2 linked regions of the Caenorhabditis elegans genome follow. The protein of the gene in region 2 purifies or fractionates together with the protein of the main gene of each other region. This does not show direct contact. Each region holds a gene or a part of one and is shown on either strand. Other genes may lie near its edges.

What was found. The genes of interacting proteins can lie anywhere in the genome.
Region 1: the proteins of acer-1 (region 2) and decr-1.1 fractionate together in Caenorhabditis elegans (co-fractionation; one large-scale study listed by BioGRID). This does not show direct contact.

The regions. Positions count from the first base shown.
Region 1 is NC_003283.11:13,779,534-13,785,332, forward strand, and holds decr-1.1 (putative oxidoreductase F53C11.3), read left to right. Parts: upstream 1-2,865; 5' UTR 2,866-2,955; coding exon 2,956-3,030; intron 3,031-3,076; coding exon 3,077-3,303; intron 3,304-3,537; coding exon 3,538-4,030; intron 4,031-4,354; coding exon 4,355-4,501; 3' UTR 4,502-4,576; downstream 4,577-5,799. Other genes in the region: F53C11.4 (SH2 domain-containing protein), read right to left, coding at 5,193-5,234.
Region 2 is NC_003280.10:6,886,027-6,891,967, reverse strand, and holds acer-1 (Acetyl-CoA hydrolase), read left to right. Parts: upstream 1-1,567; 5' UTR 1,568-1,568; coding exon 1,569-1,878; intron 1,879-2,068; coding exon 2,069-2,308; intron 2,309-2,354; coding exon 2,355-2,549; intron 2,550-2,596; coding exon 2,597-3,267; 3' UTR 3,268-3,415; downstream 3,416-5,941. Other genes in the region: pmp-2 (Peroxisomal Membrane Protein related), read left to right, coding at 4,262-4,383, 4,863-5,084, 5,145-5,312, 5,362-5,485, 5,732-5,854, 5,901-5,941.

The DNA of each region.
Region 1 (5,799 bases), on a different chromosome or scaffold from region 2:
GAAATGTTCTAAAAACTTTTTGACATTTTCAAAAGTTCCCAAAACCTTCTTGAAGATTGTTGAACTTTTTTCAAAATTCCATAATATTAAAAAAAATCATGATCAGAAGATTCCAACGTTTTTCTAGAAAATCGTCTCACTAACCTCCAATGATTTCCAGAATCATATGAGTAATTACCCCAGAGACACCAAACAGCTATTCCTGAAGCCACAACCCATCCAAAAATTGTAACACTCCAATGAAACTTCAATCGAGTTTTTGTGAACGTTGCCAGAAAGTAACCAACAAAAATTCCAATGAAAAAAGACGGAACTCTTGTCCATGGCATTTCATAGACTACTGATCGGAAGAGCTCGTGATGGCTGAAATTTTCTCCGAGTTGATAGATTGATACTGGGGGAGTGACAGACCCATTTCCAATAAAATCAGCCGGTAATTCGAATATTCCAAATAAGAAATACTCAACGAAGACACTGAGAACGCATCCACCAAATATAAGAATCACTCCGCCTGTTATAGTAAAAAATAATGTGATGAGAATAATTGGAGAAATTAAGAAAAGTTGAGTGTCAACTGCCAGAAGCCAAGTGATACGGTAGCACTGAAAGTAATCAGAAATGTTTCAATAATTAGAAATTTAGAATATAAAACCAACACTTTCATCGCCGGCAAAATTATTGATGTACAATGCGTTTTTCCACCAATTGGACTCACAAATTTCAGCTTCTTTGGTGAGAACATCTGAAGTTCAAGATATAATAAAGTTTAAAGCTGCACGGAAAATTTAGGAAAATTTTCTTACTCATTTCAGAAGCCATAAATGGACCTTGAATGAATTTTTCATAAATTGTAAAAAATCCGATAAACGTCATCAAAGCAGGCGCTGACCGCAAGTACCTATGAGCATAGTAATAAATCCATGTCCAAGGTTTCAAAATAGTCCCGTATTTTGGTTTATTCCAAAAGAATATGTAAGCCTCTGTGATTCCGGACAGAACAAATAATGTGTCTATTGAGAAATAAGAGTTCAAAACCAACTGTCTTGAAATTGACAGATTCTCAATAAAGTCCGTAGAGCTGCCAACGTTGTTGTAAGGAAATTTAAAATTATAGGTGTGAGCGAAGACAATCCAGAGAATTGTTAGAGCACGGATACAGTCTAAAGACCGAATATGATGAGGTTTGTGCTCTTTTACTGACAAAATAAGTTCTGCGTTGCTCCAAAGAGAAAATGAGAGAAAGGATCGAAGGACTGAAAATTTAAATTATCAGTTTTCCAACTCATAATATGTACCATATGCATGCTCGTTCACCGCAGACATTCCTATTTCCTTTTCTCGAAAATAATCTACAAACGTTGCAGAAACAACTAAAGAAACTATGAGTGCCATGAACACCCTGAATTATGAACTTATTAATTCATACAGATTTTTCAAAAAACTTACGAAAATGCCCAAAATGCCCATTTCTTTTCAACTTTAATACCAGATTTAAATGCTTGGCAAGTGGTCAATGGAAATGAAATAATTTGATTGAAAATCTCAACAAGATCACTTTCACTGCAAGATGAAGGCATGCAAACTGCGAATCGAGGAGTTACGTGCTCATGGGTTTTAGGATCACATGTAACATTGTCTCCGATGTAAGTAACAATATAACTGTAGCTTGTCGTGTACTTTTTTCCGCTGACTTTCTGGCATTCAGCATAAGATCCTTCGAAAAATGTATTGATGTCAAGAATATCTGGTGGTAGCTTTCCAAATGCATCAAGCTCTGAAATATGAAGAAGATATATAAACAGATACAGATTTCTAGTGAACACTCACGTTGAAGAGCAAACACATTATCTTGAACTGAAGTTAGTTCAATCAGTGTACAATTTCGAAACTTCAGACAATCCGCTGTAACCTTTGCAATTTCTTTCAGAGAATCAATGAATAATTTTGTCTCTTCAAAACATTGCCGATTCAAACTTGATGTTAGATGAAGAGGATTGGAAAGAAATGGCAGCACTCTCAAGGCGGCATCATATTGTGCATTTGAAACTAGAAATAGACAGAAAATACTAAACGATATTGAAAAGAGATTCATGAGTTCGTATTGGTCGTTTTCATTGGAAAATGACATGGATTTGTGTCAATTGATTGTTTGTGGGTGGTGTAATTTGCATATGAGATGTCATTGTGGGGAATATTTATGGAAACTAAGAACTCAGAGACCACAAACGGATTGAAACATACCGAATAAGATGGCACGGGCTGTAAAAAATACCCAGAGAAAAGGCGAGCGGCATTTGCTTTCTGCAAATACCTGAATTTCCTGTTTGTCGAGCATTTTTAAGGCAAAAAATTACAAAATCACAAAAAAAACGGCATTTCCAATTTAAAAAACGGCATTTTGTCGACATTGCCACTTGCCAAAAATTTTCAATTTTGGCAATTGCCAATTTTGCTGTTTGCCGGAAAATATTGTTTTTTTTTTCATAGGCGCAACATGACAAGACATATATATTCAACACAAATATTCAATGAAAACTTAGTTAAACTTTATACTTTTGATAAAATTGATCCAACCTTTATTGTTTTGTCTGAATTTTTGGGAATTTTTTAATTTCAGAATAATTGGAGCATGTATAAATATAAATAACACTTGTTATAACTGTGCTATAATATTTCAAAAACTGACTATAAGAACATCGAAACCCGCTGAATTTTATATTTCACGGAAAAGTTCATTTAATATCAAAATGCATTGATCAAACCATGCTTTAAAATTATTTCCTGCCCTACATTGTGTTTTCCAATGTTCTCTTGATCATGTTGCCCACATTGTGCTTTGTAACCCCCACTACATTCTAGCCTACCACCACTTCTGCGTCTCTCCATCTCTTTACCTATTTATTGATTCCAGGTCTTATTCTTCGATCACTCTTGACCATTTGTTAGTTTGAAATAATGGCTCATTGTTTGCATCCAGAAAAGTTTTTCCCTGTTGTCAAATCGGTTGCATTGCCGCCTGGCAGCTTGAATGTAAGTTATTAAAGATATTGAAATTTTTAAACGATTGTTTATTCAGGGAAAAGTTGCACTGGTCACTGGTGGAGGAACTGGACTTGGAAAGGCTATTGCAACAACATTTGCTCATCTTGGAGCAAGTGTGGCCATTGCTGCAAGAAGACTTGATGTACTTGAGAAAACTGCAGATGAGATCCGATCAAGCACCGGTGGTGTTTGTGAGCCATTCCAAATGGACGTGAAGGATCCAGCAAAGGTTGCAAAGGCGTTTGATGCGGTTGAAAAGAAGTGAGTTGCAATGGCTCGCACGTGATTCCGAAAACATAGAATAATTTCGGAGATCACTTATCTATTTTTCTCTGGGAGTACGATAGGTTAACGTAGGAACATAATGATAACTAGATTCAAGCTGTACTCTAGTGCTTACGAATATAGTGATTAAAACCTAATATCTTGTTCCAACTTTGAACTGTAGATATTTGATTTCTAACAATATTTTTTCTATTAATTTTATAATTTAAGACTCGGCCACACTCCGGACATCCTTATCAATAATGCAGCCGGAAACTTCATCATGGCAACCGAACGTCTCTCACCGAATGCCTACGGTACCATCATTGATATCGTTCTGAAAGGAACTCTCCACGTCACCACCGAGCTCGGCCGTCGCTGTATTCAACAAAAGCGTGGAGCCAGTGTGCTCAGCATCACAACACTTTATGCACAATCTGGTGCACCATTTGTGGTTCCATCAGCGGTTTCGAAGGCTGGTGTCGAAAATATGACAAAATCATTGGCGTCTGAATGGGCGAAACACGGATTGCGATTCAATGCGATTGCTCCTGGACCAATTCCAACAGAGGGAGCATTCGGAAGATTATTTGCCGGGGAGTTGAAGGATTCTGGAGATGCTATGAAAGCATCAGTACCAGTTGGAAGACTTGGGCATCCGGAAGAAATTGCCAATTTGGCAGCGTTCATGTCGTCTGATTTCATGTCCTGGATGAATGGAGCGGTACGTTTTTTAACTTTTGATTATTTTACTGCATTTCTACTACTTTCAAGGGAGGCGCATTTAGGAGAATGGGTCCTGCCGCGCGAAATGCGTCTAAAGAAAAATTTAAGTATGTGCCTTTAACTTTAAGTTACTGTAGAATTTTTAAATGTTCTCATTTATTCTAGTTTTTCTTATATTCAATTAAAAAGAAAACTTACTTATATTGTAAACTACCACTAAGAATTCGAAAGTTCCCCTCAAAACAAATACAGTAAGATTAAAGGCACACTACTCAATACTATTTGCCTAAGAAAAAACAATTTCTATTTTTTTAACTTTCAGATTATCGATTTCGACGGTGGCCAACAGCACATTCATCATGGATCCCATATGGGACAATTCCTTCACGAATGGGACAACGAGAAATGGGAGGAAACGGAGAATTTGATCCGTGGAAGAACTGGAAAAGAAAAGAAGAGCAAGCTGTAAAAATGTACTATTTCGAATTTAAGCCTAGTGTAAATTTATCATATGTGCCATAAACTTTACGAGAACTATTTTCTATTTATTTGTCAGAATCTTAAAAAAGGGAGGGCAATAATGAGAGCACATGATTTTCTCGCATTTTTACCTATGGATTAATATAAGTCCAACACGAAACTGAGGATACAAAGATTAGATGAAGAAAAATGAAAAAAAAGGGAAAAAGTGTAAACACCGAAATTTAGAAAATGGGAACAAGGCTGGTGAACTTCGAGGATAAAATAGAAGAAAATGGGTAGATGATTGGAAAAGTTCAGAAGGAATCGTTTGTACTTTTTCAGTGATCGAAACAAAACCAGCTGTGGAGATAGAGAGGAGGAAGTGAGAAGGATCCCAAGAAATATATTACAAAAGTTTGACAGAGAAAAGAAAAAAAGCGGATAAATAAAGTGTGTCAGAGCAAGAAGAAAACTATAACAGATCAACAAAGAAAACGACGAAACGAATGCTGGAAGAGCTAGACATATTTAAATAAATACAACTTTCTCTAAATGTAGAGGGGCTTACAGACGGGGGAGTTTAGAAGAAACATGCTACACTCATGAATAAAAAAGAGATAAGATGATGGAAAAGTATGAAGCTACGATTTGTTCAGCAGGAAAAATCGAATCGAATTTGTACATTTTTACAGAACTGTCTAAACAGTTTGATGACGGGCTGCTGGGCTGATGCGGCCGGTCTGAAAATTATTGAAATTGATTTTTTGGTGAGAAAAATAATCAAACCTTTGTGTGAGTATTGGGTTTTTGGGTTTGTGAGTTTTTTTTTTCTTAATTTAATATCAAAAAAAAAATTTTAAATGACTTTTCAAAAATTCCCAAAAATTGTTATGAGCTAAACTTTTAAGAAAAAGGGCTAAATTTAAAAAGTTTTAAAGCGGACATTCTAGCTGGAATTTCAAAAACTTTCACATTTGACCAAATTATCAACACATCCAAAAAAATCCGAATTTGCGCTACTTTTTGACTAAATTTTTTAATTCAGGCCATTTTGGGCTGGAAATTTTGAAATTCTGTATTTTAAGCCATTTTTCGCAGAAATAGCAAAAATGTTCCAATTTAACCAAATTATCAACTGAAATTTCCAAAAAAAGGTCAGAATTTGCTGGTATTTTTTCAATACATTTTTGGTTGGGATTATAAAAGAAAAATTATCAAAACATCACAAAAAATTCGAATTTGCGCTATTTTTTGACAAAATTTTTTAATTTGGGCTAAAAAAAATGATTCAAAATTTTTTTGCCG
Region 2 (5,941 bases):
CCTCTTTTCATTTTTCCTTCCGAGTACTTTGATCACACCTATACGGTTTTACTCACATTTGTCAAGTTGGACATTTTACATATTCTGTGCCATTGCGTGAAGGTGCTTGCACTTGTTTTTTTCTCTAAACTTGTGCTGGTGTGGCGCCTGAATAGTCAGTCAGCATTTATTTTATTGAAAGAAAAATCTATGTCCAAATTTCGTTGTATTTCTATTATCATCTTGTATTTTAACATTCAATAAGAGGATTCCAATATTTGTATTTTTATTGAATAATATACAAGTTTTTTACCGTTCAAAAATTCGGTGAATATTTACTGCTCTTTCTCTATTTCTCATCTCATCATGCTCTTTTTCTCCTCTCTCTCTCTCTCTTGGTTTTCAACAAAAACACCGCCTACAGCGTTAACATCGTCACTGCGTCTTCAGCAATAGAGATTCAAATTCAACATGAAAGAAAAAGAGAACGACAGCGCCAAGACCAGCGACATGACCGCCCGTCTCTCCCAACATTCTCCCATTTTGCTTCGTTCAATAGGCCCAGCGCACTGTTCTCTGCTCAGTCACCACCACGTGCCTGACGATTGAGCGTTTTCTGTTCGATGCTTTGAGCTGTTTCGGCCGCTCCTCCCCTTCTCACAAACTTCTGACCCAGTCCCTCAGCACTCGACCACGTTGTTTTGCAGCAATCGGTTGTACCCCCAATCTGCCCTTCTCCGATTTTCCCCTGCTCTTCTTTTAGATGTCACGTAGGCTTTCAAATCAGAAACTTTTATTCATTTTTAAAACTCAGCGCCAGATTATTACTATTTTTAAGTAACTAGTTTGCCACTACCTAGACCGAATTATTTCGTTTTCGCCAATACTTAATTCGAATCAAAAAACCAATTCGGGACTGGTTTTTGATTCATTATTTTCTCTATCAATAGAAATCAAATCTACAGGAAATTGACTATTCGTGTGCAGTTTCTACTTCTTCTGCTTTAAAAATAATTGTTTAACAGCAAAGAACAAAATCATCAAAACACTTATCGACGCGGTTTTATCGACAATTGTTTGTTCTTTTCTGTTTTTCTCCTATTTCATAAAATTTATTTTTTTCCAAATGCCAAACCTCTCACAGTTTATTTACTTCATTTATCAAAAATATACCGAAAAGCGGTCAACAGTTACGAAAGTGTTGATTTTGGGAAAAAATCGAGATATTCTTTTTAATGGTAATCTAAAATTTGCATTACAATTAAGATAAATGCACACGTAGAGCTTGTTCGTCTAGTCGCCAGACATCAAAATTAAATTTTCCTGATTACTATTTTGCCAGGCAATCTTTTTGCAAACCTTTTCCAATTTTGATCCAGTACGAAAAGTGCAAGGACTCATAAACTAAGTGATTTTCAATTTTCTACTATTTTTGATTTTCGACTCCATTTTCTTCAATTTTTGTCCGCTCAGCTTTTTTCTGAACACTAAATTGATAAGACTATTCCATGATCATGCCACTTTATCATTTCTCCTGTTTCCGTCTTTATTTATTTTATTTTAACTTATTAATTTTAAATTTTTCCAGAATGCTTTCTCGGCTTACATCTCGCTCCCTCGGAACCTCGGCTGCGTGCTCAAGAACAGCTGGTATCTTCAGAGATGAAAGAGAAGTAGCATTCCCAATCGCTGGAAAGTCACCAAAGGTTGTATCGTTGGCTGAAGCAACACGCGATATCAAAAGTGGAGACAATGTATTCGTTCACGGAATCGCTGCCACACCAACCCCACTTCTTCAAAGTCTTTCGGAGCATGCTGTCGCCAACAACTTGAACAAGATTAAGCTTCATCACTTGCACTTGGAAGGAGCTACACCATGGACCGCCGAAGGAGTCAGAGGTGAGCATTTACACGAAAATGAAGATAAACGAACTTTGTTAACTAGCACGCCACTTGTTCTTCGATTTGTAATCGATTTTAAAACATTGAAAAAATAAGTAATGTTCTTTTTGTCACGTAGCTACTTTTAATACACCTAATTTATTTAAAAATATCAATTTACAACACTTATTATTAAATTATATTTCAGATAGAATCAGATCAAACTCCCTTTTCACCGGACACAATTTGAGAGCCTGCGTCAATAACGGAATCGCTGACTTCAATTCATGCTTCTTGTACGAAGTTCCACTTTTGTTCCGCAAGGGAGCCATCAAGCTCAATGCTTCCCTCATCCAGGTCTCACCACCAGATGCATTCGGATTCTGCTCTTTGGGAACTTCAGTTGATACCGCTCGTGCTGCAGTAACAAACTCTCCATTGATTATCGGTAATTTCTAAAGTTTATTTGCAAACAATTACCTCATTCTATTTAGCAATGGTCAATAAGAATATGCCACGCACATTCGGAGATGGAGTGATCCACGTTTCACACATTGACTATCTTGTCAATGAGGCTGACGGATTCGAGCTTCATCAACGTAATATTGGTCCACAAAATGACCAAGAGAAGAAGATTGGAAAGATCATTGCAGAAAATCTTGTTGATAATGGAGCTACTCTTCAAATGGGTTAGAAAACTGGTCATTATTAAACATTTTAATAATATTATTTTCAGGTATCGGAGCTGTCCCAGATGCTGCTCTTTCTGCTCTCAGCAACCACAAAGATCTTGGAATCCACACTGAAATGTTCTCAGATGGAGTTCTTGATTTGATCGAGAAAAATGCAATTACCAATGCCAAAAAAGCTATCCATCCAGGAAAACTCGTTGTATCATTCGTTTACGGATCGACCAAGCTCTACGACTACCTCAACGATAATCCATTGATCGAGTTTGGAGATGTTAACTGGGTCAATGATCCAGCTGTTGTTCGCAAAAATCCTAAAGTCACTGCCATCAACTCTGCCGTCGAGATTGATTTGACCGGACAAGTTGTGTCCGATTCAGTTGGAAAACGATTCTTGTCTGGATTTGGAGGACAAGTTGATTTTATCCGTGGAGCAGCAATTGGAAACGATGGTCTCGGAAAGCCAATTATTGCACTTCCATCAATTTCAAAGAAGGGACAGAGCAAGATTGTTCCAACAATCAACGAAGGAGCTGGAGTTGTTACTTCCCGTGCTCATGTTCACTATGTCGTTACCGAATATGGAATTGCTCAACTTTGGGGCAAGAATATGCGTCAACGTGCCTACGAATTGATCAAAATCTCTCATCCAAGTCAGCGTGAATCTCTCGACAAGGCTGCATTCGACCGCTTGAAGGTGATGCCATCCGCCGACTAAATATATTTAACATTTCTCTATTGCTTCGGGTCTCTTGTAAATCCTTCTCCCCAATTTGTAGGATGTATTTTCAATCTGATGTTATTCTTTTTATGCCTTTTGAAAATTCATTTGTATATTTTTAATAGCAATAAATGTATGAATGGTTTCTCTTTATTCCATAGAATTTTGGCATTGGTTCGAGCTGTGAGTGAGACAAACAACTTCCAAATGGAAAATGTAAAAGGAATGATAAGAAAAAGTAATAAAAACAAACCGATAAAAGACTGAAAACTCCATAGTTCGATGAGTTAGAAGCATTACATTTTTAATTATTTTTTATTTCTCAACCGAAATTTACTGAAGCGAAGTGTTTCCCAGACGCGAAAATTTGAGATTTTTGCTCCGAAATTACGGTAACCGGTCTCAAAACGACAATATTTTGTTGAATGCACATATTTATGTACGCGCCTTTAGAGATTACTGTGACTTCAAACTTCCGATTCTGCAGAAGTTTCATCATTTTTTATTTTTTTATCGATAAAATTATATTTATTTGAATAACTATAACAATAAAAACGAAATAATTTTAACAAAACACGAGAAAAACTGCAAGATCGAAAAAAAATCACCGCATCAACGAAATTACAGTACTCCTTAAAGCGTACCTTTTTGCGTTACACCCAAGAATTTCAACTTTACGATGTAAAATAGCTTTTACATAAATACCAGATCTCACATATTTTGAAATCAAATTCCAAATAGTTTTTAAAGATTCCAGGAACTTTTGGGTTTTTGAAAATGATCATCAGATATTTCTTTGCCAAAAGAAGGCTTAATATGGCTACATATAGTCCCTTTAAGACTACACTATAGCATACTGATTCTATATTTCTAAATCTCTCAATTTCACATTATCTCTCGTTATGACCTTATGGGAGGTGATAAGAAAACGATGAGATGATGAACTGAACACAGACAATTTGGTTGCCTGCGCACCTACTCGTATTCAAAAATGGCAGTTTTTTCAAAGCTTCAATTACTTGGACAAGCAATTCCTCCAAAACAATATGCACCTGGAGTGGTTGGAATGCTTGCAGTTTTTGCATTGATTAAGTTATACAAACAGGATATCAGGTAAATACATTTCTTATCAATCCAACTAAATCGATATGAATCTCTATCAAACTACAATTTGATCAGATTGGAAAGTTCATTTTTAACGATTATAAGCTTCAAAACGATCTTAATTCCGAATGCCAGATAAAATAAAAACATAGACTTATTTATTAAAAGTGATCCTATGTTTTTGGAAATCACCCCTAACATGATTTTTGTTTTTAACAACATTAAAAATTACTGGTTTCAGTGGGAACCTTTCTGAAATATTACTCAAGATGGGTCATTTGTATTTAAAGATTTTAGAGCTTTTGAAATACGACGTAAATGTATATAAAAGTCCAAATTTGTAAGAAACCTGGCAAATTGCCAAAACTGTAAGTTTTGAGAAATCAAAAATATTTCCGAGTTTTTTTTTACTAAATATCTATGTAAATTAAAAAATATCAGCCAAAAAATTCTAAAGTAAAAAGCTTGCAACAAACCCAATATTTCAGAGGAACAAAACACTTGGTTGCAAAAACGAAGAAAGATGGCTCAAAAGGGCAAAAAGCTCATGTTGATGGAGTTTTTCTGGGCAAACTGGCAAGAATTCTGAAAATTTTGATACCTGGCTTCTTTTCGAAGGAATCATTTTATCTTATTCTCATTGCAGTTTCTCTTCTTTGTCGTACTTATGCAGATGTTTACATGATTATTACATCGACAAAGATTGAAGCGTAGGTTTTTGAACTTTGAATTAAAATATAAATTATCAAGAATTCAAAGAAAGTTTTCAGTTCAATCATTGACCGTAACCCGCTTCTTTTCGCTCTTGAAGCATTCAAATACGTTCTGAATCTGCCAGCAATCTCCGTGACAAATGCTATTCTGAAATTCGGAATTGCTGAATTGAAACTTCGTTTCCGTGAAAGATTGTCCACTCATTTGTATTCACAATATCTTAAGTAAGAGTTTAAATTGATTTTTGTTCTGGAAAATTGAAAATAATTACAGAGGATTCACATTCTACAAAATGTCAAATTTGGATACTCGAATTCAGAATGCTGATCAACTTTTGACTCAAGACGTCGATAGATTCTGTGATGGAATTGTTGAATTGTACTCAAATCTTTCAAAGGTATGAAGAAAATTATTACACGGAGGATTTCTTTTCAAGAGTAATGGGAAAGTAAGCCGGCAGGGAGGCAGACATTCTGTACCGGCTTGGAAGGCTATTAACGATTCTATGTTCAGTTGGAATAAATTATAGTCACATTAAATCGGAAAAAATACAGTTATACAGTTTCATAACTGAAACACAAACGTAGTTGTATAACAAACTAGATCCAACTCCTAAATTTTTAAAATTAAAATTTAATTTCAGCCAATCCTCGACGTATTCCTGTACCTATTCCGTCTTGGAACATCACTTGGATTCTCTTCTCCATCAATTCTTTTCTCTTATCTCCTTTTCACTGGAGTTGGGCTGACTTATCTCAGACGACCAGTAAGTTTCCTGAAAATAAAATTTGTCACAAAGGTTGAAACTTCAGATTGGAAGACTTACGGTAGAAGAACAAGCTTTAGAAGGAGA